7 linked regions of the Ovis aries genome follow. The protein of the gene in region 5 purifies or fractionates together with the protein of the main gene of each other region. This does not show direct contact. Links are inferred from orthologs where the notes say so. Each region holds a gene or a part of one and is shown on either strand. Other genes may lie near its edges.

The links.
Region 1: the proteins of ZRANB1 (region 5) and STRN4 purify together in Homo sapiens (affinity purification with mass spectrometry; 4 studies listed by BioGRID and IntAct, with this or other methods). This does not show direct contact. The link is inferred for Ovis aries from reciprocal best matches to the Homo sapiens genes ZRANB1 and STRN4.
Region 2: the proteins of ZRANB1 (region 5) and CTTNBP2NL purify together in Homo sapiens (affinity purification with mass spectrometry; 4 studies listed by BioGRID and IntAct, with this or other methods). This does not show direct contact. The link is inferred for Ovis aries from reciprocal best matches to the Homo sapiens genes ZRANB1 and CTTNBP2NL.
Region 3: the proteins of ZRANB1 (region 5) and STRN purify together in Homo sapiens (affinity purification with mass spectrometry; 4 studies listed by BioGRID and IntAct, with this or other methods). This does not show direct contact. The link is inferred for Ovis aries from reciprocal best matches to the Homo sapiens genes ZRANB1 and STRN.
Region 4: the proteins of ZRANB1 (region 5) and HECTD1 purify together in Homo sapiens (affinity purification with mass spectrometry; 5 studies listed by BioGRID and IntAct, with this or other methods). This does not show direct contact. The link is inferred for Ovis aries from reciprocal best matches to the Homo sapiens genes ZRANB1 and HECTD1.
Region 6: the proteins of ZRANB1 (region 5) and STRIP1 purify together in Homo sapiens (affinity purification with mass spectrometry; 4 studies listed by BioGRID and IntAct, with this or other methods). This does not show direct contact. The link is inferred for Ovis aries from reciprocal best matches to the Homo sapiens genes ZRANB1 and STRIP1.
Region 7: the proteins of ZRANB1 (region 5) and SLMAP purify together in Homo sapiens (affinity purification with mass spectrometry; 3 studies listed by BioGRID and IntAct, with this or other methods). This does not show direct contact. The link is inferred for Ovis aries from reciprocal best matches to the Homo sapiens genes ZRANB1 and SLMAP.

The regions. Positions count from the first base shown.
Region 1 is NC_056067.1:53,621,505-53,625,977, forward strand, and holds the start of STRN4 (striatin-4), read right to left. Parts: upstream 2,934-4,473; 5' UTR 2,903-2,933; coding exon 2,618-2,902; intron 2,562-2,617; exon of another isoform or gene 2,517-2,561; intron 2,472-2,516; exon of another isoform or gene 2,211-2,471; intron 2,121-2,210; exon of another isoform or gene 1-2,120. UniProt on the Homo sapiens protein: Calmodulin-binding scaffolding protein which is the center of the striatin-interacting phosphatase and kinase (STRIPAK) complexes.
Region 2 is NC_056054.1:89,883,556-89,887,602, reverse strand, and holds part of CTTNBP2NL (CTTNBP2 N-terminal-like protein), read right to left. Parts: intron 631-4,047; coding exon 400-630; intron 1-399. UniProt on the Homo sapiens protein: Regulates lamellipodial actin dynamics in a CTTN-dependent manner. Associates with core striatin-interacting phosphatase and kinase (STRIPAK) complex to form CTTNBP2NL-STRIPAK complexes.
Region 3 is NC_056056.1:87,162,793-87,166,839, reverse strand, and holds part of STRN (striatin), read right to left. Parts: intron 1,411-4,047; coding exon 1,235-1,410; intron 1-1,234. UniProt on the Homo sapiens protein: Calmodulin-binding scaffolding protein which is the center of the striatin-interacting phosphatase and kinase (STRIPAK) complexes.
Region 4 is NC_056071.1:39,550,456-39,555,220, forward strand, and holds the start of HECTD1 (E3 ubiquitin-protein ligase HECTD1), read right to left. Parts: upstream 3,171-4,765; 5' UTR 2,379-3,170; intron 1,086-2,378; 5' UTR 953-1,085; coding exon 813-952; intron 1-812. UniProt on the Homo sapiens protein: E3 ubiquitin-protein ligase which accepts ubiquitin from an E2 ubiquitin-conjugating enzyme in the form of a thioester and then directly transfers the ubiquitin to targeted substrates.
Region 5 is NC_056075.1:43,994,362-43,998,408, reverse strand, and holds part of ZRANB1 (ubiquitin thioesterase ZRANB1), read right to left. Parts: intron 3,658-4,047; 5' UTR 3,621-3,657; coding exon 2,807-3,620; intron 1-2,806. UniProt on the Homo sapiens protein: Ubiquitin thioesterase, which specifically hydrolyzes 'Lys-29'-linked and 'Lys-33'-linked diubiquitin. Also cleaves 'Lys-63'-linked chains, but with 40-fold less efficiency compared to 'Lys-29'-linked ones.
Region 6 is NC_056054.1:87,360,031-87,364,077, reverse strand, and holds part of STRIP1 (striatin-interacting protein 1), read right to left. Parts: intron 3,930-4,047; coding exon 3,803-3,929; intron 3,505-3,802; coding exon 3,404-3,504; intron 2,673-3,403; coding exon 2,606-2,672; intron 2,054-2,605; coding exon 1,949-2,053; intron 1,318-1,948; coding exon 1,113-1,317; intron 1-1,112. UniProt on the Homo sapiens protein: Plays a role in the regulation of cell morphology and cytoskeletal organization. Required in the cortical actin filament dynamics and cell shape. Part of the striatin-interacting phosphatase and kinase (STRIPAK) complexes.
Region 7 is NC_056072.1:43,481,396-43,485,442, forward strand, and holds part of SLMAP (sarcolemmal membrane-associated protein), read right to left. Parts: intron 3,851-4,047; coding exon 3,682-3,850; intron 3,593-3,681; coding exon 3,542-3,592; intron 3,052-3,541; coding exon 3,001-3,051; intron 1-3,000. UniProt on the Homo sapiens protein: Associates with the striatin-interacting phosphatase and kinase (STRIPAK) core complex, forming the extended (SIKE1:SLMAP)STRIPAK complex.

The sequences.
Region 1 (4,473 bases), on a different chromosome or scaffold from region 5:
AACTTGGCAGAACCAATCACCAGTTTATAAACACGTCTGTTCTACCACCCCACCTGTTTATTCTGCTGTACACTCACTCAGGAGGGAATACGAGGACAGTCCCTGCGGCCACTTCCAATGGGCAAAAAGTGGAAACTACCAAAAAATCCATTAAGGGGACACAAACTAAATGAGCTGTGGTGCAGACACCGGCGGGGTGCAGTTCCCAAAAATAATAAGCGCTCTGTGTGCTCATATGAAAAAAACGCAAAGATATATAAGTAGGTGAAAATAAGTCACAAAATGATGCATGTAATAGCATGTAAAAGGCGGGAGGAGAAGGGGACAACGACAGAGGACGAGATGGCTGGATGGCATCACCGACTTGAGGGACATGAGTCTGAGTAAACTCCGGGAGCTGGTGATGGGCAGGGAAGCCTGGCGTGCTGCAGTCCATGGGGTCACAAAGAGTCAGACACGACTGAGCGACTGAACTGAACTGAATAGGATTTCATATATTACACACACAGAGCTGAATTACTTTTATAGCAATAATAGGGTTTCGGGGAGTGGCTCTTTCCCTTCTCACTCACTTGGTGTGTGTACATCTACACACACAGGCACTTCTGAGATCCTTGAAATTTACTAATGTAACAGAACGATAACAACAAAGGGGTACAAAGTAAACGACGCTGGAGCCTGGACGCATCGTTCCTCTTGCTGGTCTCAAAGGTGAGGCAGCGGCGTGGTGGGTGCTGCAGGGTACCCTCGTCTCCTATGGCCGCCTGGATGACCCTGGGAAGGTCACTGAGCTTCCCTGAAACAAGCCTGTCATCTGTCCTGGGCGTCAGACAGGTATGGGCTTGAAAGTCCACAGACCACCCCTGCCACCCACAGGCTATGATCCTTGATATACGACTGACCTTCTCAAAGTCTCCACTTCCTCTTTTATTTTTGAAAAGGAAGGGAAGGGGAATAACATCCCTCACCCTCCCAGAATGTTGCAAGGACTAAGTGATACCATGTATCTGCTGTGTCTAACACAGTGTCTCACCCATAATACAAACTCAATAAACAGCAGCTGCTATTATAATTGCTAAATAAGGGCAACGTCCTTGGCCCTGTCTTCACAATGGGGGTATTGAGAAGATCTAATAAGACGTACAGATGGGATATCATAGCAAGGGGTACTTAGGTAAGGCTTTCTCTCCCACTCTAACCCCAAGCCTCAGCCACCACACAGTGAAGATCCCTTTCAGGGTGGGAGAAGTGTGGGATGCTCTCTTTAATCATCCTAGGGAGAAAATTCTAATCTGGTTATTTACTTGGGTCCCCACCTCAACCAGATACGAAACAGCAACTGAAAAGAGGAAAGACCAGATGCTAGAAGGAGATACTGACTTTGCTAACAATGCCCCAACCCTCCAAATCCTCGCCACTGGGATACCCAGGCTCCTCAGGACACTCTGCTAATCGACCCACAGTTCTCAAGGTCACAAAACCCAGCCCAGCTCCTCAGCCTCTTCCAAACATCTCAGGACACCTTCCTCCCTGAATCTACTCCACAAACCATAGGATCTTTTCCCAGAAACTTCCACAAACACCTCCCACCCCAGGATCCTTCTGAAATGTTTCCTCTGGCTGTCTTCCTGCTCTCCAAAAAGGCTCCCCTTGCCATGCCCCAGGTTCCCCGATTCCTCTTCACTGTCTCCATCCTACCGCCCCTCTCCACAGCTGGCCAAGTTTGACCCTCCCATACTCCAGTTCGGGGGTTCTCCATCTGACATCCCACACACCTCACCTCCCATCTCACGGCGGGGGCCCCCACATCCCCAAAGAGTTTCGGCTCTCCGTTCTCTTCCAACACAGGCTCCTGGCTCACGTCCTGGCTCCATCCGTGCTTCCAACCCTGGGACCCCTCCCCTGCACGCGGAAGCCAGGCCTGCCAGGGCTCCCCAAAGTTTCCTCCTCAGAGGAGAGGACACACACCTTCACGCCCCCCACCTCGCGCCCGGAGACCTTGCTCCGCATCCTTGGAGTCCTCAACACCACCGTCATTCAGTCCCTCCAGTCCAAACGCTCCGAAACACACACGCGTCCCGGGCTCCCTGACTTCCTCTCTCGACTCACGCGGGCTCCCCGCCCCGCTCTCGCCCCCGGCTGATCGCAGTCACCCCCGACGCCCCCTCTCCCCCGCCCGGGGTCCATCGGGCTCCGCCTCCGGCGCGCACCTGGTCGGGGGCGGAATGGGGAGTCCCTCGTGCGGCACCCTGGGAGCTGCCGGCTCACTCGTACACAAGACCCCTCATCCCCTCCCAACGCTTCGCGGAGCTCTCCCGGGGCGCCTCGGGGCTCCGCGGCCCCTCTCCCAGGAACCTTTCCGCCGGCCGGCTCGCTCCCACTTCCAGCAGGCCCGGGGGCCCCGCGCCGCCTCCTCCCGGCGACCGCGCGGGCCGCCCTCCCGCCGCCGGCCGCCCCTCGGCCGGCCCCTCACTCCGGCTCCCGGCCGGTCGCCGTCCCCGCCCGCCCCCCCGGCCGTCCCGGCGGCCATTGCTCCAAGATGGCGGCGGCGGCGGCGGCGGGTGAGGCTGGGCCGGGCCGGGCGGGCGGGGGCCGGGGGTCCCGGGGCGGTGCTCACCTGCAGCTCGGCGCGCTCGGCCTCCCAGCGGGCCTTCTCCGCTTCGAAGCGCGCCCACTCGTGCTGGATAAAGTGTAGGATCCCGGGCAGGCTCAGGGGCTCCGGTCCCGCTGCGGGACCCGGGCTGCCTCCGCCGCCGCCGCCTCCCTTGGCAGCCGGGCCGGGCCCCGGGGCGGGGGCGGAGACCAGGGCCGCCCCCGTCGGGCCGGGGCCCGCGCCGGAGCCCAGCGGGCGGCAGGAGGAGGCGGCGGCGGCGACGGCGGCGGCCGCTCGCTCCTCCATCATGGAGGCCCCGGGGCCGGCCCGCGCGCCCGCTGTGCCTCGCGCGCCTGCGCGGCCGCGCCAGCCCTCGCGCGCGCGCTCGGCGGGGGCCGGGGGGGCGGGTGACGGGAACGAAGTCGGGCGCGCGCCTCGCCCACCCGGGTCGACCCCGAAGGCGCGCGCGTGGGAGGGGGCGCGGGGCGGAAAGGGGGCGCGCGCCCGGAGGAGGGCAAACGCGACCCAGGCTCCGCGCGAGGGTCGCCCATGGGAAACGCGGTACTTGGGGGGGGGGACCGCTTTCTACCCCCCTCCTCCCGTTTCATCCCAAAGAAAGACTCTAGCCCTCTCCAGACCCAAATAGCACTCTCCTCCACAATCACTGTCACTCTTTGAGGGAAAGAACGACCACCAGGGGTGGTTTCAGCAATGGCCCCATCCTGATTTCTGGCCCAGGTCGGTTGTCATGGTAACTCCTCCCAATCTGGAACACCCTTAGCCTCCTCTCCCTTCCACCTTTGTGGTTATGGAGCTCCAACTCTCTCCTGGCCCTGCACCAGGAAGAGGTTGCTAAGGTAACCCAAGTCTCTGGTGGTCCTTATGCCCCTACCCACATCGGTTACTATGGCAACCTCACCCAGCCCTCAGGGAGAAAGGACCCCAGCCCCAAGGACAGTGCTAAGGGAAGCAGCTCTTTCCCAGCCCCTCCCCCCAGCCACACAGTTGGCATTACCATGGTAACCATCTCCCCTTTCCCATCGTGGGAGGTCTGTGGACCAAACCAACCAGGTGTTTTTATTTAGAGGAGATGCTCTGCTGAGAAGTAGTTGCTATGGTTACAAGGCCTGGACCATCCCCAGAGAGGTGAGAAACAAGCAAAGCCAAGTCCTGGTTACTATGGTAATGGGGGCAGTCCCCCTTCCAGTGACCCTAAGACCCACCAAGGTAAAGGACATTTTAAGATTGTCTCTCAGGATGGAGTGGATCTAGGGAAGGGGTTGTCATGGTAATACCTTCTGTCACTTCTAGTCTTACCTTTCTGGACACATTTATGAAAGAAGAGGTGGTTATACATTGCTATGACATCCTTCCCATCTCACTTTTGTAGGTGAGATGAAATTGTGTTCTATTGTGTGAAATTGACTGATTGAGGGTCTCCTGGTTTCTCCTTCCTCAGCGATGCAGCTGAGCTGGGCTGGAACTGCTCCCCTGAAGCTCCCTTATCCTGCAACCTAAAAGGTAAGAAATCTCTCAGTGTTACCAGCAATCACGGGAAAACTGCCCTTGTCCCCAAAGGTTTCTCCACATGTCAGATGTTTTCTTTATCCATTACATTACCATTCTAGAGCTGCAGCCAGGTGAAGCCTGGCCTGAAGTGAGCATAGATCCCCTTACACTGTTTCGTGGGCAATGGTAGGACAGTCTCAGCTTAACAGTCCTCTCCTCACCTGACCACTTTTTCTCTCTCACAGCCCCCTTTTGTTTTCCTGCTCTATCTGTAAGTTGTTTGCAGGGATTTTGTCTGTCTTGCAACCTCTGGAAGGATGTGCCCAACCACTGTCTGGTTCATCCAGGGTCTCCAGAACACAGAGGACACT
Region 2 (4,047 bases), on a different chromosome or scaffold from region 5:
ATTCCCCAAATACCCAAATACCTATTAATCTTTCTATTTATCACTTAAGTAAGCAAATAGAGAACACTCTGTTCAGCTACAAGGCTTGGTCAAGCCCCAGTTTGTTGCCAAAGTTTGGGTGATCAAGAGTTGAAAAAACAAACCAAGTGTTTTGGAGTGTCGTATCAAGAAGGAATGTCATCTAAAATAATGTGTCTGACATACTCCCTAAATTTAACCTTTGGAATAACCTGCATTTTCTATCCCCTGGCTCCTAGGTAAGCTGATTTCTTTTTTTTTTGGACACCTGTGAGACCTCCCAGTTGAACTACCATGAGACCTGGCAGCTGACAGAAAAGTATCAGGCACTATTTAGAAAGCTGTCACAGGAGCCTGCGGGCTCGTGTCAGCGTCACCCACCTTGCGGTGCCGGCTCTCAGCAGCAGCCAGCTGGGACAGCATGCGCTCCTGCATGTTCTTGCACTGTTTCATCACCATCTTAAGAACTGAGAGCGGGTTCGTGCACACTGGCTGCTTCTCGCCATCATTCTTCTCTTTCAGGGTTTCAAAGTCTCTCTGGAGCGCCATTAAAGGATCACTGATGTTGTATTTTCCATAGCGTTCTTCAATGAAAGTATCTCTGTGTTGGGCCTGGGAAAGAAGGAAAATAAGCATTTTGCTTTCAAATATTACTGAAGAGGGGATTTGCTAGCAGTTAGACATCAAAGGTGGTGATGTTGGTATGAAGTAACCTGTGACTACAAATCAGATGGGCCATCTAAGTATAGATACAGCATCAGAATAGGGGCACAGCATACTAATGAGAACAAATACTTATACAGTGCTAATTACATGTTAGATGCTGATCCAAGTGTTCAGATTCAGATTACCTTAAGTTTTACTTTGACTTTTAAAATGGTGCTATCATTTCCATTTTGCAGATGAGTAAATTACTATGCAGAGGTCAAGTGACTTGCTTCAGGTTGCTCCGCTAGCAAGTTGTCAGAATTGGGATTTAAACCCCTCTGGGCAGCCTGGCTCTAAAGTCTGTGACCTGAACTGCCATGCTTACTGCCTCAGCTTATGAATGCTTGTATTACCAATGGGTATATCTTATCTTTCCTTGCTGAGTTATGGCATTTGCATTTCTAAAATATGGTAAACATAATATCTTTATGAGTTTACAGATTTAGAGACCTAACAAGGTGACCATAGGTAAGTAAAGGATGCTAAAAATAATTCTACATTATAATCGAGGACTGGTTGTGATTTCTCCACATAGAACTTCACTCGACTGCTGATGGGTCAAGAGGGTGGAGGCTCTCGGCACTAGGGCTGCAGACAGAATCCCTCCACCCCCTCTTCTAGCCTCCGTCCGGCTGCTGTCTTTCATCTCCATCCTGTCTCCTTCAGGGCTTGGGGAACTTGAGCGGGGAATGTGGACTGGTGCTTGGAGCCTGGCCTAGGGCTTTGGTCCTGGGCACCAAGTCAGGTCAAATGGTCAGGAAGGCAGTCGAAGGAGATTCTTAAGCTACCCTCTTGTCCCTGCTAGGAAAAATTTGAAGTCCTATTTCATTTGAGCATCATATATTATGTGCAGGTGAATAAAGGACATTAACAATCATGTAAACAGACATTTAAATGTTTCCTAAGACATTTTACAAAAAAAAAAAAAAAAGAATTGTTCATAGAGGGTTGAGGAAACTTCCTCAAACGTCATAGCAAAGTACTGTATAATTTAAGCTTTCAAATGACATCTAGTTACAAAAACTATTGTCATTTCTCAATTAAAAAAATTATTTTATCAGGAGCTACATATATATTTTTACTACCACCACCCACAAGTGGGAACCCATTTGAAAAGAAAAATACACAATCCAATGACCATGCTTAAAAAACAGAACAAAAACCCTCAAGAAAATAAAGTGAACATGGGTTTCTTTGACAAAGAAACAGGTTTCAGTGCTGAACATGTGATGCCTTCTTCTTCAATAGAGACTGTTAAAGTTTAAGACTCAGGAATTAGCCTTGAGTTACAAATTTGTATTGGTACCGGTTGGCAAATGCTCAAAGCAGAGTTAGAAGCCCTGGGTTTTACTTCTGGCTTGACTACAACCATCTTCAGCAATGACATTATTGGAGTATTTGGATAATATCTGTATACTAGAAATTTGAAACTCATTTGTTGCTGTAAGTTACTGTTAACTAACCCCCTAACCTTATTACAAGTATGTATGCGTGCACATGTGAGCATGTAAATTAAAAGACAGAATCCTATTTTGAGGTCCAAATTAAAAAGAAAATTCTCAGTAAAATTTCAAAAATTTCAAAATCAAGTCCATTTAGGATGGAGAAAGACAAGACCAATTCCAAAACTATTTATCATCATCACCATCATTATTCTGGTTGCACCTCACAGCATGCTGGATCTTAGTTCCCTGACCAGGGACTGAACCCATGCCCCCTGCATTGGGAGTTGGGAGTCTTAACCACTGGACTGCCAGGGAAGTCCTATTATTTTTAAAAAATCATGGCAAGAGTAGACAAAAAAGCCAATTTTAATTACGTATATAAGAGCATTAATGTCAAACAAATGTGACTTATCAATGTTTTCATGAAGAACGTCTGTTTCTTTAAATTCAGATATAAAAACATGAGATTGAAAAAAAACAACAACATGAGATTGATAATCCAGGATTCCATGAAAGTTTCTATCTGTGGCTATTTCTATCTATGGCAAATCCTTATTTAGCAAAACAGACAAAGGAAGTAAGAGAGGAAAAAAAACTCTTTAAGGAGTTGAAATCCCAGTCTTCTGTCACATCTTTTACTCATGATTACTATTTCTGTAAGATTAGCTATGGAAAAGAAATGATTATTGGTACTGAAATTGGTTTAGTAGGGCAAAAAGGAAAAAGCGAACCTGAATATTTTTATGACCTTTTCCTTTTCAGAACACCATGGAGAAAGTGGTATGGGAGAGCAGAGCTGGGAGTACAATTCAAGACTGATATCAGATCTGCTGGGAAGCTCCTCTCAGGTTTGAGTACATAGTTAACTCACCCTTAAAAATATGACTTTTTAAAACCCACACCGTTATTATCCTGTAGAATTAATAAGCATCACAGGGTTACAAGTAATGGATGCGGAGCTTCTGTGGTGAGGTCTCAGACTTCCCTGAGAATAGCTATCAAGCTGTCTGTTTTCTCTTGAAGTAGTTCACTGTAATTCCATAATCACTTGTACAGTAATTACAAGTTATATAAAATTGGTAGCTTCAATATAAGTGAAAAGAATCTGTGAAATAATTGAAAAAAGGTTCCTTATCATGAAACAATTCTCTTAAGTATATTTTAATAAGGGCCTGAATATGGGAAAAGTGAATTCTGTATTTATTATACCAAACAGTGAATTGGAAAATGAGATGGAATATAGTATTTTCCAACCAACTTAATGCGTCAGTCAAGTGAATTGGATGGGTTACACACTTAACAACCTAAATAATAACAACAAAAATAAACAAAAATAGATGTTATTATTTGATAAATGAAAGAAGAGCTTTAGTGGAAGTATGTATGGTTATTTGGGCTTCTTTGGTGGCTCAGATGGTAAAGAGTCTGCCTGCATTGTGGGAGACCTGGGATCGATCCCTGGAAAAGGAAATGGCAACCCACTCCAGTATTCATCCTGGAAAATCCCATGGATGGAGAAGCCTGGCAGGGTACAGTCCATAGAGTTGCAGAGTCAGACATGACTGAGCGACTTCACTTCACTTCACATGGTTATTTATTCCTATTTAACAAATTACCCCCAATTTAAATGTTTAGTGAACCGTTTTTAATCTCATACAGTTTCTGAGGGTCAGGAGTCTTGGAGGAGTTGAGGGCTGAGCTGGGTAGTTCTGGCTCAGGGTCTCATGAGATTGCAGTCAAGCTGCTGGCCAGGACTGCAGGCATCTGAAGGTATAAGTAGGGCTGGAGGATCCACTTCCAAGCTTGGTTGCTGGGTTAGGCCTTGTCCCCGAGCATGTGCTACCTTCCCACAGAGCAAGTGATGTGAGACAGTGAG
Region 3 (4,047 bases), on a different chromosome or scaffold from region 5:
GAAACTGTCCACATTAGATTTGAACATCAGAACAGATTATTCACTACTCAGAACACTGAGTGTATGAGTACTCTACATGGCTTATGCTGGCCATACTGAGAACAGAAACTGGATTGTATTACAGATTTTTTTTTAATAGGCATATGATAGCTCTCCTCATTTCCAAAGTTTTAAGTTCAAAGGTAAACAAAGACTATTGTTACTTGCTTGTGAAGGTGTTATTACTAAGCTACCACCAGCAAGAAATTTCAATATATTTCAAAGTTACAGTCAAGAATATATGATGAGATACTCAACATTCTCTCATCTAATATGATGCCCACTGTGAACTAAAGAACTTGAAGAACAAAAGGCACAGTTTGTAACCAGGAAATACCTTTCTCTGTTAAAGACACCTGATCTACATGAAGATTCACTTGGTTTTAGCAATATCCAGTTGAGCTGTCTGATGAACGTCTAGGTGTGACAGCTGGAATGTCACTGATTGTTTTCAAATTGGGCAGGAGATATTCTCTGTCAGTAGTAAAACTTCTGTCCTCTCCTCCATTTGACGTTCATTTCTACTCTTTAATAAAAAGAGGTATCTATCACTGTAGAAGGGCCCTTGCTGGTAGATGCTGGGTTCTGGACCACGTAATCCAAGGAAGAAAGAGAAAGTACCAAGTGGGATCAGGACTAGCTTGGTGACTGATAAAAGGGGTTTATACCAACTCATGTCTGTCCGTGCTTACAGAGGAACCAAGGGGCCAAGGGAAGTTTAGCAGATAAGTGAGAGCAGCAACAGTACCCCTTCAGTCTAGACATTTTGGTCAAGATCAAAAGAAAGGATCAAAGAGAGGTCTCTTGCCCCCACCGGCTCCAGCATAAGGCCAAACCTAGTAAACAATGGGGAAGGATTGGGGTTGGGGTTTGACGGTTTTAAACATGACTATGCCTGCTTACAACAACAGAAACCTCCAGCGCAGACAAAGGGTTCTCAAAATTTAAGTTATTTAAAACACCAAATAAAGATTATAATCAGCATTCACAAACCATTTCTCCCTAAGGGTCAGTTTTTCAACCTAAATTAGCTTATGAGTATGAAGGCAAAAACATCCTAAATTACATAACATGGTAAGGAAAAAAATTAGAAGAGATATTTGAGGAATTTAACAGCAAATAATAAAGTAAGGCTTTCTCTGCTGAAAAATATTAATTAAATTATTCAAATACAGTTAAAGTAGAATATTCTCACTTTTTGGCTGGGGCTGTTTTCTGCAAATTCCACATTTTTAACGTGTGATCCTCTGATGCTGTTATCAAAACAGGCTCAGTGGGGTGGAAAGCGAGAGCTCTAATACCATCAAAGTGACTTCTTAATGTAAACTTGGGGTTCCATGTCTTCCTCAATGCATCTTTATTATTTGCTATCTATTAAAGAAAAAAAAGATACCAATATACTTAGTTCAGAATGAGGGAAAAAACTGTATTTCAGCATTAATTCTTACTGTTTCATCATTAAACTACCATTATTTTGCAACTTTCAAAATAATGTAATTTTTAAGCAGATAACCAAATCAATAGGCAAAATTAGCAATATGTCAACAATGGTTTTCTTTGAAGAAATATGAATGCTATAATAAGAAAATACATAATTCAGTATAGAAGGAGGATCAAATAACTTAGTAACAAAAAACAAAATTTCACTAGGATGCTTTTTAAAAAGACAAGTGATTTAAACCTGAATTATAGAATATAAAGCAATTCTGGTTAAGAGTTGAAAAACTAAATTATCTTTAAGCATGTTAACATTACAGAATATGATGATACTTTCAAAGTTTTCAGTGGTTTCAGACAAGAGCTAAATTTTCTTCAAATTGGTAATGAAGTTTATATACTGACAACAAAATGTTAAAATTGGAAAAGACAATCAGATATTACGAACATAATTATATATTTACTATGTTCCTTTTCTCCACAGAGGGCTTCCCTGGTAGCTCAGATGGTACAGAATCTGCCTGCAACACGGGAGATCTGGGTTCGATCCCTGGGTTGGGAAGATTCCCTGGAGAAGGGAACAGCAACTTACTCCAGTATTCTTGCCTGGAAAATCCCCATGGACAGAGGAGCCTGGTAGATTACAGTCCATGGGGTCACAAACAGTCGGACTCAACTGAGTGACTTTCACTTTCTCCACAGAATCTCAATCTCAATAACTGAAAAAATAATGCACTGTTTTTTCATTCCAACTAATAGAAAAGCTAAAGAGGATAGTGTTTGACTTTACACAAGCACCATGGATGAACTTCACACTCCAAGGCTAACAATCATGGTAGATTTAAGCAAGTATTTGTAATATATTAGAGAAATGTTACCATACTCACAGTTACAAAAATTATCAATGATACAACAACTGATATTCTATACAGCATTCATTATTTTCTACATTATTCAAAAGACTTAAAAAGCATTAACTCACTTAATCCTCACAACTCTATGATGTTGGAATTAACAGTATCCTCACTTTACAGACTAGCCATTTTAGGGAAAGAGAAGTTAAGTGACTTGCCATCTAGTAAATGGAGGAGTCAGGATTCAAAATCAAGCAATCTGGTTTCAGAGGCTATACTATTAAACTGTAATTTAGAACCCAGACATTTAAAAATCTGCAGAGAAATCTGGACAGGACATGTCACAACTGGGGCAATTCATGCGTGCTAAGTTGTTCCAGTTGTGTCTGACTATTTGCGACCCAATGAACCATAGCCCACTAGGTTCTCTGTCCATGGGGCTCTCCAGGCAAGAATACTTGAGTGGGTTGCCATGCCCTCCTCCAGGGGATCTTCCGGACTCAGGGATCAAACCCAGGTCTCTTTTGTCTCCTGCACCGGCAGGCAGGTTCTTTACCATTAGCGCCACCTGGGAAGCAATGAGTGAAAACAAAACACATTATGCAAGGAACTACTCTAAGAATGGGGCCGATTATTTTGAGGGCAGGCAGGGCTGGCAGGAAGGTTAGGACGACAAGGGCAACCGAGCTGACCTCTTTTATTCTTATAAAAGAGCTAAAAGGTTTTCATGTGGAAGAGTACTTAAATTCCTTTGATTATCTTGATGTGGTAGGCAGCCACTAAGTTCCCAGTCAGCCCCACCTATTTTTACCTTTGGGTAGTCCCCCTCCCTGATGGCTCCGATGGTAAAGAACCTCCCTGGAATGTGGGAGACGCAGGTTCATTCCCTGGAGAAGGAAACGGCTACCCACTCCAGTATACTTGCCCAGAGCATCCCATGGACAGAGAAGCCTGGCAGGCTATAGTCCATGGGGTCATAAAGGGTTGGATACAACTGAGCAACTAACACTTTCACGCTTCCACATTATAGGCATGCTCTGTGATCAACAGCATACAGCAGAAGTTGGAATAAACTACTTCCAAAATTAGGTTATAAAACCTTTCATCTCGAGTGTTTCTGCTCCCTATCTTTTTAGGTGCACTCACATTGGGAAAAGCCAGCTGCTCTGTTGAGGAGCCCACAGAGAGGTCCATGCGGTGAGGAACTGGTTCCCAGACAACAGTCAGCAAGAAACCAAGGCCTTCAAACAACTACATGAGTGAGCCTGGAAGCAATTTTCCCCAAGTCAAGTCTAGGTAAGACTGCAGCCCTTGTCAATGTCTTGATTACAACCATACAAACAGCCAGTCACATAATTAAGCTGTCCCCAGACTGCTGACCCATGGAAGCTGTGAGATATCAACGTTTGTTCTTCTAAGCTGTTAAATGTGGTACAAGTTGTTATGCAGCAATAGATTGCTAATATGCTTAATAAAACTAGGAACTACTTTTAGAAACTGAGACAGACTAACACTAAGTTTTCTAACAATTAAGTTATGAAAAAAGGATGAGCTTTCTCCAGAGAGAGGATTGAATTCCTTTATGTATTAGACAAACTCTTTGCAGGAACAAAAGCATCTAATGGGAATTTCTGCTTCTGGTCATGATGGACCAGATCATTAGGACCAACTGTGTACTGAGGACAAGTAGAATAGCAAACCTAAGAATAAAAAAATC
Region 4 (4,765 bases), on a different chromosome or scaffold from region 5:
AGTCAATTTCTTGATACAGAAATAAAGAAGCATTTGCATTTTCTCAGTTTATAACATGTTTTGAAAATGAATCAGTCAGGTTATCGGGTAGAATTAGCATTCTCTACTAATTCCTATTCAGTCAACAAACATGTATTTGTGTCATCACAATTATCATTACTGGAGTTAGTTTACCTACCAATTTTTATTTCTCAGAAAATTGTTAATGCAAAACTACAGAAGCTTTTCAAAAGATAAGTTTTAAAACTCACTAAATAAACTGGAGCCTATTATACAGACTGAAGTAAGCCAAAAGAAAAACACCAATACAGTATACTAACGCATATATATGGAATTTAGAAAGATGGAAACGATAACCCTGTATGTGAAACAGCAGAAGAGACACAGATTTATAGAACAGTCTTTTGGACTCTGTGGGAGAGGGCAAGGGTGGGATGATTTGGGAGAATGGCATTGAAACATATATATTATCATGTGTGAAACAAATCGCCAGTCCAAGTTCGATGCATGATACAGGGTGCTTGGGGCTGGTGCACTGGGATGACCCAGACGGATGGGATGGGGAGGGTGGGGGGGGGGGAGGGTTCAGGATGGGGAACACATGTACACCTGTGGCGGACTCATGTCAATGTATGGCAAAACCAATACAATATTGTAAAGTAATTAGCCTTCAATTAAAATAAATATATTAAAAAAATAAAACTCACTAAAGAAAAATTCTATACAAATTCAAATCAGCAGATGGTTGAAAACACGTTATGCCCAGGTCACTACAGCATCCCCAAATGAAAATGATGAAGGGTTGCACTTACGTTTCAAAACAACGATCCACGTTGTCAGACATCAAAAGCAGCATGCATAGCTGTTCAAGGGCTATTAGTTGCATGTCCCTTTCATCTCCTTGTCCCATCTGCAGCCATTCCAGCAAAGTATCTGGGTCCACATCTGCCATTGTTTCTTAGGCTTCTTTGCTTAAATTTAAAAAGCAAAGGCAAAAATTCCTTTAAATGTCCAGGACTGAACAGCGTGGGCTTAATTTTTTTTCTTTTCTTTTACATCGGCTAGAGCCAGATTTTCTTGGTATCCTAGGAATTAGAAAAGACTTGTAAGTATGTTTGGATAGTGTACTTAACCGTAGTTTTCCAACTTTCCTTATTCCTCGGGTTTAACTTCATACATTGTACTAAATAAAACCAGTTTTGCACAAGAGTATAAGCTGATTAGGCTGCTGCTTAAACTGGAAACCAGAGCCGCCTTTGTCAAAGACAGTCAAACAAGCTTCGGATCCCACTATTGCTATCACCAACATGTTTGCCAAAAGGCAAACAACACCTTACTAAGGGTTCTTTTTTTCCCCAGAAAACTTCCTTCCCCCTCCGTCACCCAAAGCTGATCTTCTGATAAGGATTAGATTCAGTATTTTAAGGAAACTTAGCACTTTGATCCAATTCCCCTCCAAATCAAGTCTCTAAAATTAACTTCAACTTCTTAAATTCTGCTGATTTAATTTACTGCTATCCTTAAGATGTCCAAATACAAACAATATACAAGATCTATCTATGATTTGATTAGGAATTTTGGCAGTAGCAGCAACTGTTCTTAAAAGTTTAAAAAGAAATGCTACAAGTAAGTGCAATGGACTAACACGTTACAGATCAGAACACAGGCCAATCTGCGGTCCTCTTTACCCATCCTCACCGAACGGGGCAGTTGGTTAAAAACAACAGCAGCCAACAACAGAGAAGCAGCCCCAACTGGCAAATCAATACAAAAACTCAAAAGCACTCTGACGAGAGGACAGCGTTGGGTCCCTCGTAACCCAGCTGCAGGTGCATAAATCCAGCGGCAGGTTCCGGTGGGCACCCAACGGCGGCGATCTGCAAGGGTGACCCAAAACTCGGGGCCCAGCCGACCCGGCGCCGGGAGACGCAGGCACTGCGCTCCGGTTTTCCCGAACCAAACCCGGCTAAGTTAGCTACCTGTGTCGAGGAGGAGGGTAAGTTTTGGAGGTGGAGCTGCGAGCCTCTCTACCCGAGAGAAGGAGGCCGGAGCAGGCAGGGCGATGGGTCTCCCGGGAGCGGCGCCCGGAACTCCGAGGCCCGGGGGGACGTCCCTGGCCCCGTCGGGCGGCGATCCTTTCTCAAGGACAAGGCGGGCCAGCCATGGGCTCTGGCTCGGACAAGCCGGGGCCCGCCGTGGGCAGAGTCGGGGGAGGTAAACAAAGGGGCCAAGCGGGTGAGTCGGCGGCAGCCCGCCGACCTCACCAGGGGCTGGGGTCTCGCTCCCGGGCTACCGCCAGGCATCCCTGATCCCGGAACCAGGCCTGACCCTTCCGACCGCCGAAGGCGCTCCTGCGTCCCCTTTCCTCAAGCTCTTACCCAGGCCCGTCGTCTCAAACCGCTCCGGTCCAGCTCCAAGCAGGCCGCGGGCTGAGCCAGGCCCGGCCGCGGCCCTCGAGTTCCCAGGAAGCCGCAGGCCGCGCAGGTCGAGCCGGGCTGGCGGCACAGGAAAAGCCGCGCCTTGTCCCTCCCCTTCCTCCGCGGGGACCTGCTGACAGGAAAGCCAGAGGTTCCCCAGACCGGCGGCAGCCAGCTCACGTCCCGACCCCGGCACGCGGCTCCAGAGGCCTGCAGCTTAGAGGCCCGCGCCGTGCTGCCAGCGGCGGCGGCGGGGGGAGACCGCGTCCATCGCGATCCGGGAGGGGGAAGGGAAGAGGGTCGGGGGAGAGCCGGGCGGGGAAGCTGAGGAGGGCAGCAGTGCGCCGCGGAGGCGGAGCAAATGGGCTGCGCTGGCTGCGACCCCGCTGGCCGCCACGTGGGGCGCTGTGGAGACCCGTCGGCCCGAGGCGCAGGGGCGCGGAGCGCCCGGTAGCTTCGTCGCCGCTACAGAAGGTCTCCGGCTCCCTCGGCCTCGTCAGTTGTCGCTTTCCTTTCGTACGCTCTGCGCCTTCACGTTTCGTTGTCAATTGAAGCGCGCTCCCAGCACCGCGCACATACGGGTGCACGCACGCTCAGCGTGTTTTGCACGGTGTGTATACACTTGGCGTGCTCCTGCTGAAAGCCCCAACGCTGCACGTCGAAGCTGCGGCCCAACCTGTCCGGGCCCGGCCTCCCGCCTCTGGGACCCGGCCTCCGGCGAGAGCTTCTCCTCCTCGCTGGTCTCCCCTCCTCGCGCACGGAAGTGCATCGCGGGAAGAAAAGCGCCACCCTTCGGTCCTGGGAGGCAAACTGCCCGGCAGTTCAGAAAGAAAACCTTTGACCACAACCCTGGGAGGTAAATATTGTCGAGTATCCTCTCCACTGTACAGACGAGAGAGCTGAGGTTCCAAAAGGTTTGAATTCAGGCCCGGTGGCGTTCCCAGGAAGCAGCAGTACCTCGAGTGTGTTTTCGACTTTTTCCTATGGGTTGTGATATTAAGTATGTCTGTAGTTAGTCCCTTCGAACGTTTTATTTCACACGCGTTGAAAACAAAACATGCCTGCGTATGAGAAGCTCTTGGAGACAGTTGAGACGTAATTAGTTGGAAATGTGATATAGCTTTCTTTTTTTTTTTTTAATCAAGAAATGAATCCCTTGGTTTGTGAGATAAGTAAACCATGCTCCTACACCCACTGTATTTAAAAAACAAAAATGCGTATTAGTATTTGAGGCGTGTTCCTTTAAGCAGAGGAGCTGCTGCATATCTTTGAAGAACTAGTATTTTGTAAATTACGCATTTGCGCCTCGAATGTCTATAGATACATGTCCCACTATAGCAGGTAAAGTTCCTAGGTCTCCTGCTCATAGGTCAAATTAAGAGATAAGAGTTGAGGATTCCACTATCTTGTCCCAACTACAGCACATAAGAATGATTATTTGAGAGCTGTGAATGTGACTTGGAGCTGCCAGGAAAATCTTCAAGGAGGAAGTGGCATTTATTTGGACCCCGAAGAAATGGGTATAAAGTGAACACTACAAGGGAGGAGGAAGAAGAAAGCAAAGCCTGATCAGTTGTAAAATAAAGGAAAGAGGACCTGTGCCTCAAGCAAAAACCAGCGTTAAGCAATGATGGAGAAAATAGGAGCAAAAGTCAGCAGGGACTTAAATGTGTGCGATACAGAATTTATGCTGAGGTAAAGTAGCAAGTTCTGGACTAGAACATTGACTGGAAAAGTTCTAAAGAGTCTTACAAAGATGTATAGGGCGAGAGTGACCAGAACAGCTAATAGGAACTACCTTGAAAAGGAGATTAACTGGGAGATTGGAAAAATCCTCCAGCAGTGGAGAGAGAAAGGGTCTAGTTTTTGGCAATAGGAAGACAGTTCCTATGGAGAAGAAATAAATCTTAAAAATGTTTTATACATGCAAATGTTTTATAAATGCCCCTATACATGCACAGCTGTCAAAAGTACTCCATGACCTAGTACATTTCTGACAATGAATGTATGTCAATAAACCATTATTACTCAAATTCCATAGTTTACATTAGAGTTCACTTTTAGTGTTGTATATATTCTGTGGGTTTAGACAAACATATCTTGACATATCCGCCACTATAATATCATACAGAATATTTTCACTGCCCTGAAAATCACCTGTGCTCTACCTATTCATTCCACTCTCATCTAGCCCCTAACAACCACTAATCTTTTCACTGAGTCTGTTGTTTTACCTTATTCAGAATGTTGCATAGTTGAAATCATATAATATATAGCCTTTTCATATTGGTTTTTTTTCATTTAATAATGTGCATGTAAGGTTCTCTTCATGGCTTAATAACTCTTTT
Region 5 (4,047 bases):
CATTCCCATTTTAAAATGCTGGCCTGAGGTTGAGATTTTTTATTTAAATTTCAATTGGGAAAGTCTCACATTTTATACTTAGTATAAATTTTATGCATAGTATACACTTTGGAGATGATTTTTTTTTAGTATATATGCTGCCAAACCGAGTAATAAGATGGCTTTATTAAATGTCTAAATCGGTAAGCCATAATATACCATATCTAATGAAATCTGGAAAGCATAAGGCAGACAGAAAGGGAGAAGATTAATTTTCAATACATGTAGACTTCTGCTAACCCAACACAATGTAAACAACTAAAAGTTAACATATTTCAATGGTATTTACAAATCAGGATAAGACTATCCAACAAAGACAGGACCAAACTCTTTCATACAACTGTTTAGAACCATATTATACAGTGAAAACTCAAAAATACTTGCTGGTAGGAAAGAGAATCCACAGTACCAAGAACCAATCAATTCTTAGCCCTAAGAACCTAGAAACTACGGAACATGTGGGAATGGGGACTTGACTTTGCTCAGTTATAAGAATTCAAAGAGGCAAAAAGATAGTTACCAAAAAAAACTCAATATATGGAAAGAAAGACAAACATCAAGAAGACACAGTAGTCAGAAATGCAAGAAATAACAGCCATAAAGACAAAGATATACTGACAGGTCTATTGTGCATGTCAAGGGGAAAAAATATTTCAAAGCAGTTCTCATCATTAGATTCACTAACTTGAAGAAACAGTAACCCCAAAGAGGTTAAAAAAATCACTGCAATCTAGTTTCTTACCTTCTATAAACATACAGGTACTATAACACCACCTTACAGTTAATATTAATATATTACACTATTGCCTGCAAAAATAATCCTAACAGTGTTCTAAAAGGCAGATGGGTAGTTAAAGGACAATCACACCTAGATACAAAAGATCACATAAGTTTCCATTTGTATGCAATATTCACAATAATAGTCACTGAGACAGAAGCAGACTGCTGATTACTGGGGTCTTGGAGGTGTGGAACAACTGCTTAAGTGGGTAATGGGTTTCTTCCGGGATGATGAAAATGTTCAGAACTAGATGGAGATGATGGTTGCAACACTGTGGATGTGCTAAATACCCCAAAATTGTTCACTTTCAAAACGATGAGTTTTATGTTATATGAATTTGACCTCAATTTTTAAACATTCAAAAAAAAAAAACAACCCCCCTTCTGTATCTCCGGGTTTTAAAAAAAGAAAAAACACTCACACCATATGTGGTACCTCAATTTGGGGAGAGAAAAAGAATCGATGGGCTGTAATGGGACAGCACAGACGACTGAACACAGCTCAGTGTGCTTTTGTTCCTTGTCCTCAGGACAGGAGAAAACTGGAGCTAACGTTTCCTAAGGGCTGTGTCTGTGTCTTGTGCAGAAGGGCTCATCTGCTGGGACTTTCTTGGGGGGCCAGGACAAAGCTAAAACAAAAAAACAGATTTCTTGAAATCTACTCTTTGGACTTGTAGGTTCATAAGTTATGTACTCCATACTCTTGGGGCTATATTCAGGAGGATAAACAAAATTAATTGGTACTGGGAAATACACACACATACCACACACACAGCCCAAGCCATGTTTAAGGCATAGCTATTACTCTACACGAGATTTAACTTTAGCAGTCACTCAAAACTTTCTTTACAAAACTGAATGTCAAAGCAAGCACCCAACTGGGATGACCCAGAGGGATGGTATGGGGAGGGAGGTGGGAGGGGGGTTCAGGATGGGGAACATGTGTACACCCGTGGCAGATTCATGTTGATGTATGGCAAAACCAATACAATATTATAAAGTAATTAACCTCCAATTAAAATAAATAAATTTATATTTTAAAAAAAGTAAGCACCCAATCCAAATTATTTAAATTTATATAATTAAAATAGCTAATCTACTCAACAGCGATGGGGGGCATACAAAAAACTGCTTTCATTAACTACATCATAAATAATTAACTCACAAGATCAGTAACTGGAGAAAATCTTACTCTCACAACATGGCTCTGTCCCTTAACAGCTCTGAGCCAGTAACTGAGACTATTATCCAGCATTTCCTTAGGAAAGTACCAAAACACAACACACACAAATCATAATCTGAACTATGGAACCAGCTGGCCACATGAAATCAGTTTCACGAAGTTTGCAAATATTCACTACAAGACATTCACAAAAAATTAACATCAGCGTTTTCAAGGTCAGTATTATGTCTGTTCAACTTCTTGGAGTCACACATTTTTGTGATATTTTTAACTTCTGACTGAAGCTTCTACCATCACAAGACGCTCACACTGTTTACAGACACTCCGAAGCTGCAGCTGGCACTCCTCAGTCACATCTTGTTACAATAAGCAGAGTAGCAGTTTTAAACTGCAGGTATATATTTTACTACAGATATGTAAAAAACTCTGCTATAACTTGACATTTTTCTCTCTAAAGATGGAAAGACACATGCACAATGAAATGGAGGCAATACAGGAAAATGTTACGCCAAGATCACAAAGTCAGAGGTTCTTATGCATGCGCACACACTGCCAGTAGCAGCTACCATGCTGAATGAACTAAAGGCTAAATAATGTGACCTTCCTTGTATCTTTCATGTTACTTTTAATATCTTTTCCCAACCCATTCAAAGGACAAGATCACAAACTCAGAGGTTCTTATGCATGCACGCTGGGAGTGTACTATCATGCTGAATGAACTAAATGCTAAATAATGTTACCTTCCTTATATCTTTCACGTCATTAATATCTTTTCCCAACCTATTCAAAAACACAGAAACTTACCCACACAAGCATTGAGGAACAGCCAGTCAGTCTTTTTCATCCTATTTTTAATTTGCTTTAGTTTTTTGAAGTCCACTTCAAGTTCCTCCTTGCTGCCAACAGCACCAGCCAGCTCAATCCTCTGGAAGTCCATTTTCACCTCCGAGTCCCGTTTCGCAGTCGGCGGCGATCTTCTCTGGCTGTTGCCACTGCTACAGCTCCCTCTCCATCGAGCTCTGTCTTGCTCATTAATTATTGAAGAAGCCTCTTCAGTCTCTGCGAACTCAATTGCTTCAATATTATTAGGTCTGGGATGATCGCAAACAACACATTTTTTAGCCTTGGCCCAGTTTTCATATGTGCAAATAGAACAAGTCCAATGCTGGGTCCTTGTGTTCAGTTTATTTCTATCATTGTATTCCTCACAAGGATCAACAGAAAAAGCAACTGGTCTTGAGCCAGATCCTGAGGATTGAGGAGATTCTGTGGGACTCCTGGTCCTACGCTGGGATAAGCACTGAGTGCATCTGATTGCTCTTGGCCAGTTCAAATACGTGCACATGTGGCATGACCATTTATTGGCATTTTCCATGCTATATGAAGATTTAACCCTTGGTCTTGCACTAGAGTCTGGACAGATCAAAGGACTACTTCCTCCTTCGGTGCTGGAAGGATCCCAATCTCTACCAACATCACTTGAACCACTTTTAAATGGATCTTCTGTAATAATTGTTCCACTAGGTCTCTGGGCACGACACATAGTACACTTGATTGCAGACGGCCAGTTTTCATACGTACAGTATTCACAAGCCCACTTAATTCCACGTTCTGACATTGTGCACTTCTTGAAGTGAGTTATGTCAGGCAGGAAGCTATAAATAATTAGGACATGGTTATTAAAACAATAGGTACATAATTTCACCCCTGAAAACATGCCCAAAATATAAAAGTAACCTTCAACTTATAAAATATCAATTTCTCAAGATATGCATGTAACATTTCATACTGAAATCTTTTTTTTTTTAATTTCCAGAGAGACACTGAAGATAGTTCCCAAAGAAAAATCTTAGACCTGGGGATTTAATGAAAATGTACTTTGGAATGCAAGAGAGACAGGCAAAAGGAAGTTTGTTCTAAGAGAGAAGGAGGTTAGAGCAGGAAGCCTCTCACAGAAATGTTTCATCTCAGTCAGGTCATCACCATCAATTTAGAAAAATAACCAGTAATTAAAAGATTCAAAGGTAAGGGATAGAACACAAACC
Region 6 (4,047 bases), on a different chromosome or scaffold from region 5:
TTGTGGCAGCTCCCCTTGGGGTCACTGCAGCCCAGGGCCATGCGGGCCTGGGCTTGGCCAGTTCAATGTCAACCAATAACAGGAAACCTCCAAGCCCAACCCTCGGGAAGACTTACAGGACTTCTTTCCTAGGTACACAGGAAAAGTCAGGTCAAAGGGGAAACACCAGAGCTACAGAGAAAGAGGCTACACAGCAGTTCACGTGGGTCTGCTGAGGAAAGCCAGGAGGACAGCACACTTCTCTGAAAGTCACATTCCCCCTGGCTCTCCCAGGTAAGAGGCAGGAACCTGCAGATACCCCCGTTTGCTTATTCTCTCAAATCCCTGACCGGGTGCTGTGGGCCACCTTGCCTCTACAAATTCAGGGCGTTGGGAGTGCAGATGCAGTCACGTGCCCCTGGTGCTGTGGTCAGGAAGTCTAAGGGTGCGGCAGCATGCTTGGGGATACCAGGAAGACCCACTCTGCCAGGGAGGCCAAGGCGGGAGGGGAGGAGCACGTACAGATACAGAGGGCTACAGGGAGGCACCCTGCCAGGAGAGGGACCAAGTCCGGGGCAGGACGGCCAACGTGCTCAGAGCCCCAGGTGTGATGGAGGCTGGGCTGAGGAGGTGGAGCAGATTGCAGAGGACAGGGAGGGACCATGTGTGGGCCCTATGCGCTTAGAGTTTGGCTCTAATTCTTAGGGAAATCAGAAGTCAGAGAAGGATTACACTCAGAGAGATACCACCACTGGATCTGGGTTTTATAAAAATCACTAGGGCAAAGTCTGAGGCACTGATGAAGGGAAAGGAACCAGAGGCAGGGAGGCCATTAGGAGCTGCGAGAATTTCGGTGACCAGAACCAAGGCAGCTGCAGGGGTGAGAGAAAGGACGAGAGGTTGGATAAAGGCTTGTGACAATTCCTGGAAAAGGGAACCGGAGGCACAGAGAGGAGCAGGGATGACCACAGACACAAGCCTGGTAGTCTCTCCAAGCCCTTCCTGGGCGTCCCATTCTGATGCTACAGACGCAGGAGCTGGGCACTTCCAGGTTGCTCGGAGGGAAACTTGAGAGCAAAGGAAGAGCTGTCACTGTCCCCCACTCCCTTCCCTCGCCTCACACGGAGCCTCACCGTTGCCGTAGGCCCAGTCGTCATTCAGCCGATGCCGCACCTTCTGGTAGATGGCAGACATGGTCTTCATGTTGCTCTTCCGCCACTGCCGTCCCAGATACTTGGTCTGCACCTTGAGCAGCTTCAGCACATACAGCTGCATCATGGCCTGTTTCACTTTCAGGGCCCGCTTCAGGATGGGGGCTGACTTGAACACCACCAGCATCTGGAAAGGGGCACGAGGGAGGCTGTGTTGAACGCAGAAATAAATCCACTGCTGCCCCTCCGGGTTACAGGTAGGGTGACCAACTGTCACAGTCTTCCTCAGACTAAAGAGTTTCTTGGGACATATGACTTCCACTAAAGTCTCCTGGCTAAAACTAGGCAAGTCCCAGGCAAACCTGGATGGTTGGTCACCCGAGTTATGGGTCATTCTGGAATCCGAAGAAAGCTATGGAGTCCATCACCCAAAGTATCCCTATGTGCAGGTACATACAATTCCAGGGGGTGAGTGGGCCTCCCCACCTGAGGCATCCACAGACTCAGAGTTGAGACGGTTCTCAGAACCCTGGTTATGTTACCAGTGGAGATTAAGAGGCTATTCAAAATTCCTTCTATATTACATGAGAATTTGTGTCAGTGCTTGACTGAGCCTCTTCTAGCTTCCAGTTCAACTGGTCGAGGAACCAGGGATCCACCTCCACATGTAAAGATGTGGCTACAGGAAAGTTAGGTGAGGAGGATGCGGCTGCTCCAGCAAGCCTGGGCACTCCCTGCCCCCACGTGAAGGGACAGGCCGGTGTGTGTCACTCTGCTTTAAGCTCCGGGACTCATGCCTGCTGGCTGTGCTGACTCACCATCGTCCTCGAATGCTTCCATTTTGTCAGCTTGTTCAAGATCCGAAGCAGATTAATACAAGAAAAGAGGTTTCTCCAGCAAAACTGGTTATTGTCACCTGCTTCCTGCAGGGAAAACCCAGCAACCATCGTCTCCTGCACAGCTGCAGGCGCCCCCAGTTTCCCAGGCCCTCCCATATATGACCTCAGCACTGCGCGTCACTCCATGTGGGCACTAGGAACTCTCTCCTCTCCTCAGCCCGGGGGCATGCCATCCCAGAAGCTGGCAGAGGGTAGGGGGTGCTCCCTAGAATCTTCCTGTAGGGAACGTGGAGCATGACATTGAGGGCTCTGGCCTCAGCCCCCACTACCTGGGGCACCCAGGCTCCCTCACAGCTGTGGCCCCAGAGTTCCAGCGTGGGGAGAAGGAAACAACTCGACCAGGTGAGCTCTGGGTCAGCAGCCCCTGAAGACCACAGTCCTGACAAAATAATTTCTAAATCCAAATGTTCCTACAAGGTCCCCTTCCTGGTCCTCCTATGCAATGTCAGTGCTTCAAAAGCCAGGCACTCAACAGTGAGCTGACCTGTGAAGACACCTTTCCCCCAGGTGAGGGGGCAGGCTCTCCAGTCCAGCCCTTACCCAGAGGAAGCACTGGGGCAGAGGCCAGCTACTCACCAGACTCTCGGCAGTCAGCTCTGGCAGCTCGTGCACCACACAGTGAGGGTAGTCCAGGACAGAGATGCTGCAGGGAGCAAGAGAACAAGGCACCCACCATGAGCAAGGGCTGGGGCCTGGCAGAACGGCCGCTGACTCCTGGCTTTCCTCTCTGGCGTGCCGAAGCAGAAACAGCAATCTACCTTGTCTGCTCTACCCTGACAGGGAAACACCTGCTACGAGAGCACTCGTAAGACCCCTTTGTAGCCAGAGACAAGCTTGTAATCTTGTGAGGGGTGGAGAGAGCATGGTATCCCTCACAGCAATACATCTGGGGCTGGTGGTCGATTTCTCAAGGCAATTAATTTACGCCAAACCCCTCCTGGAGACTGTGTCTGGCTAACAGCTCAGCTTGCGGTGTTTCACAGTGTGAAGTACAGCTGGCACCAGGTGACGGGGTGGGGTAAGAGCAGACAAGCCATCACAGTGCACATGGCCGAGCTCCTGGGAGCAGCAGGCAGCCCCGCCAGGCTCCTCAAAAGAATGGGGGACACAGAAGGACTGAGGGCAGTACTAGAGCCCAGGATGAGAACCCTCCCACCCAGGCACAGACAGACTGAGCCCCCTATGTCACGAGACTAGCCAGACTCAGGTATGACAAACTGGTGTTTTCTATAGACCACGTCTCTTTCATCTTTGGGTCCTGACATCTGGCAGAGCACCAGCTTGTGGACGCTGACTGGGCTCAGTGGAAGAGGCCAGCTAGGAGCCCTGCCATCTGGCCATACCCACCCCTTCCTGATCCCTGGTCCTTATCACCTGTTCTTGGCAGTGATGTAGGAAATAATGTTTTGATTGAAGAACTTTAGGATCAAAGGGATGCAGTTGGCAAACACCAGGTGCTGGGCCATGTACTCAAACTGAAAGCAACAGGAGAAAAAATAAGCATGCCCCCTATCCCCGGGACGGGGGAGCCTGCCGGGCTGCCACCTATGGGGCCGCACAGAGTCGGACACGACTGGAGAGACTTAGCAGCAGCAGCAGTTGGGATCTCACCCTTTCTCTCGTGATAAAAAGCCTCGTGTGGAGGACTGTTTCTCTGCACATTTGCGCAGAGCTCAGGGAGGTTTGAAGGCCAAGCCTCTGTTCTTTGGGGCCTGAGGAGCAGCACTGCCCAAGGGCCTGGCCCCGTGGACAGAAGGAAGGGGCTGTAGATACCTGATAGACGTGGTTCAGCTTGAAGTGCTTCAGCAACAGCAGCAGGACGGCAGAAATGGCCTTAACGATGACCTCTTTGTGGCGGTTCACATCCACTCCCAGCTTCATGCTCTGCAGCACTGTGGTGCTAGAAGCACAACCCCGGGTGAGGCCCCAGCATGTGCAGCACCTCCTGCCTGGCGCTCCCAGGAGACAGGACTCCTGAGCCTTCTCGGGGCAGAGCTCCCACCTAACCCTCCACCCTA
Region 7 (4,047 bases), on a different chromosome or scaffold from region 5:
TTTCATTCCTTGAAATCAAGCCCTAGGGAATTCACTTTGCCAAGACTATATAAGATGTCACTGATCATCTAAACCAGGAGTCACGAATCAGATACTGAAGTGTGAGGGCAGGAGGAGTGGTGATGGTGTCCTGTGATACTAAAGAGGGTTGTAGGAAAGCAAAGAAAAGTAGCCACAGAAACATAATAAGAATCATGAGACAAAATGTGTTTTATTTATACATGGGTTACCTACGTATTTCATTCAGACCTGTGTTGTCCGGTACAGCAGCCATTAGCCACATGTGACCACTGAGCCCTTAAAAAAAGTTGCTAGTTTGAATTGAGATGTGTTGTCAGCGTAAATTAAGTATCTATAGGAAATGGCAACCCACTCCAGTGTTCTTGCCTGGCGAATCCCAGGGACGGGGGAGCCTGGTGGGCTGCCGTCTATGGGGTCGCACAGAATTGGACACGACTGAAGTGACTTAGCAGCAGCAGGCCTCAAAAACTTACTAAGGAATAAAGAACGTGAAATACTCATTTGTAATAGTTTAATGTTGACTACATATTGAAATAAAATTCTAAATACAGTGGGCTAAAGTAAACATATTATTAAATATATTATTAAAAATTTAGCTATTCCTTATTGTATTTTTAATGTGACTACCAGAAAATTTTAAATTATGTATGTGGCACTCAGAATAGTTCTATTAAACAGCACTTCTCTAAATACCATCTAAGATATATTCAAAACATGCTTACTAGGTAACATTTTAAAAATTATAGTACAAAGTTGTGCTTATAACAGCTACTTTAGATTTAAGTAATTTTAAAAATGAGTTTACTGGAGAAGTATTATTAATCTTAACTTCTCCAGACATGTTTGAAATATTCTCTTACAACTAAACTTGGTTCTCCTTCTGCTGCTTAAAGAGTAATTTTGGTTACAATTATATCTAATAGCATATTATAACTACAGACTTTGACAATATTTGAATACTTGATAATCAGTCTCTTATTATATCATAAATGATTCAGAATAGACTCATCTTATCCATAATCTACTCTGTAACTAAATATGAAGCTTCTGTGCTTATCCAGATACTTACTACTCAGGGCTTCCCTGGTGGTGCAGAGGTTAAAGCGTCTGCCTGCAATGTGGGAAGCTGGGTTTGATCCCTGGGTCGGGAAGATCCCCTGGAGAAGGAAATAGCAACCCACTCCAATATTCTCACCTGGAGAATCCCACGGACAGAGGAGCTTGGTGGGCTACAGTCAACAGGTCGCAAAGAGTCGGACACGACTGAGCGACTTCACTTTCACTTTTCTTTAAAGATATTCTATTAGTCACTCACACACTACTCAATTAAGCACTAACATCTGCAAGGGAAAAATAATCATTGCCAGGAGTACCCTAAGGTATCCAAAATATTAATATTTTATTCAGTTTTAAATCAAGGAGTTGTCTACAGCTTTTCTCATTTAAATAAACTAGAACTGGCAAAAAATTGTTAAGCCATAATTTTACAACCCTAAATAGCATAATGATGGTTCAGTGTACATAAAAAGATTATTAACTAAATAGAATGCTCCCAGCTTGAATTAACACTAGCTTTATCAACAAATACATGTTCTAGTCAAAAGGGTGATGGATTTGAATGAGAAGTGTATATGCCAGAAAGAGAAAAAAGAGCAAAATAACAACAACAGAAAATATAAATTCATTTAAGAATGAGAAGCTTTTAGAAGATGAAGATAAAGTCTTTTTACATATGTTTACTAAATATACTTTAATAATAATGGTGCATGAACATAAACTACACCTTTAAAAAGTCTCAAATTGAAACTCAAACTGAAATTTTATAGTGTCAATGTTATTTCACAAAGCATATATAAAATAGTCACATAATAATGACTGATGAAACTTTTTTGAATTTCAAGACTTATTATACATGGAATATTAGCTCTTGATCTTGTACCTCACATATACATGGTTACCTGAGCCTATTATTCCACTTCCTGATTAAAAACAAACCAACCAAACCAAAACAAACCAAAAAAGCACTTCCTAACTTTATCAGAGTTTAGATGCCGCCCAAGAATTATAAAGTTATCCCCTGATACATGGAAAAACTATTTAGTATGAAGTTTCGGGTACTGACCTTGGCATCTTCTATATATAAACACTGAGTTGAGAGGCACATATATTTGTAAACACAGAAAATAATTTTATGCATTTTGTACTCTAAGGATCTAATGCAGAATCTGGCATATAGCTGGTGCTCAGTTAATGTTGGATGAATGGGGAGGGAGGACAAATCTTCATGACTGCAGGAATACAGAAACCATTGAGTAGAAAACTCATGTTGCAGTAGGAAAACCAACAGTGGTTATACATTTGTGGCAAGAGATAACCCAAGCTATCCAGAAAGAAGGATCAGATATCAAGAACAAAAAGATAATTTTTCAGATGGCATACATGACTGACTCCCTTTTCTCTGATTGATAAAACAGACAGATAAAGAGAGCAGTTTCGATGACACATCCAAACACTCACTGGACATTTTTTTTTCTTTCTATTTTTGTTTCTTTTTTGGACTTTTAAGTAAACTCTTGGCCAGGAAGGGGGCAGGGCACAAATATTAAAAAACAGGGGCCAATTATCCCCAGAAAGCAGTACTTGATGAAAGAAAATGGTGGTATCGTCTTTGAAAATATAGTAGAGGGCAGGGGAAGCTATACTAGGTTATATAAACCAACACTAAAGTTGAACATTATTAAAATCTTACTATTTCAATAACTGAAATTTCCATATAACAAGGGACATCTAATCATAGCTCACAGAATTAAGAAATAGAAAATAAAAGGAAGCTTGACTTTTAAAAGATGGGATTTAACAGTCTATGAACAGCATGCTTTTCACGCCAAACACTTAAAATCTAAAATCCCTGACTTCTCTATCCTGCTTAAATAGTAAAAGGATATCATAAAAGAAAAATATTTAAGTTTTTTACACTACCTTTTTCTGTGCTCCCATTTATTTTAGGTAAGAAGTCATCAACTTGTATCCCTAGGATTAAGACAGTGTATCATTGCCTGATCAAAAAAAGTATTACTTTAAAACTGGTCTCAAGTGTAACCATGGCATTTTGTATTCCTACTGACATTAAGACTGACTGAACAGTTTAAATTTATTTTTACAAGAAGGGTTCAACTTGCCATTTTCTATCATCTTAGCGAAAAGCCTAGAACTGCTTAGTAACCTTTCGATAAACCTCAAAAGAAAAAGGATTCTGCTGTTCATGTGTTTTTCTTATTTAAATATCTCTAAGCAGACCATCTCAGATGTATAAATTTCATTCATTTCAAAGACTACACAATGGTGCCCACTGGTGGCAATCAAGCATATTTTTAAAGGAAATTTTCTGAAAGAGGGTAGATACTTTACACCTAATATGTAAAACATCCCTCTTAAAGAAAGCAAGTACACAATGTGAGATAGTAAACAAAAATTTAATGATAAAAATTCAGCTTTAAGTAAGAAATCTGGTGACACCTACCTAAGCTGCTGCATTCTTTAAGAGTTTTCTCTTGAAGATGTTCTAACCGTACTGTAAATAAAAGTCCAAGAAAAAGATATTTCACAGATAAAAAGAAAGAAAAAATTAAATCAGATCAATTTCTGGATTAGCTAACTTACCTTGTAAAGCTGTTAGCCTTTCATTGGTAAAGTCATTATCAGCTTGCAAAGCTTCTATTTTTGCTTGGAGCTCCTGTTCTTTTTCTTCCATTTCATCTATCTTATGTTGTAATTCTTTTTTCTCAGCTTGTCCCTTCTGTTGGATTTCTTCTTGTTTTCCCTCTGCTATCTGTTGAAAATGAAAAAAAAAAATCCAGCTATTTAATAAAATCTGACCTTGTTTTAAGATGTCTAAAACAGGACTCCTTTTATTCATGTAAATGATGTCAAAAGTGATATGCACTGTGTCATCCCTCTGTATCAACTGAGAGAGAAAAACTTGTAGCAAGCAAACAAACACAATACATACATAGATTATAAGGGTCA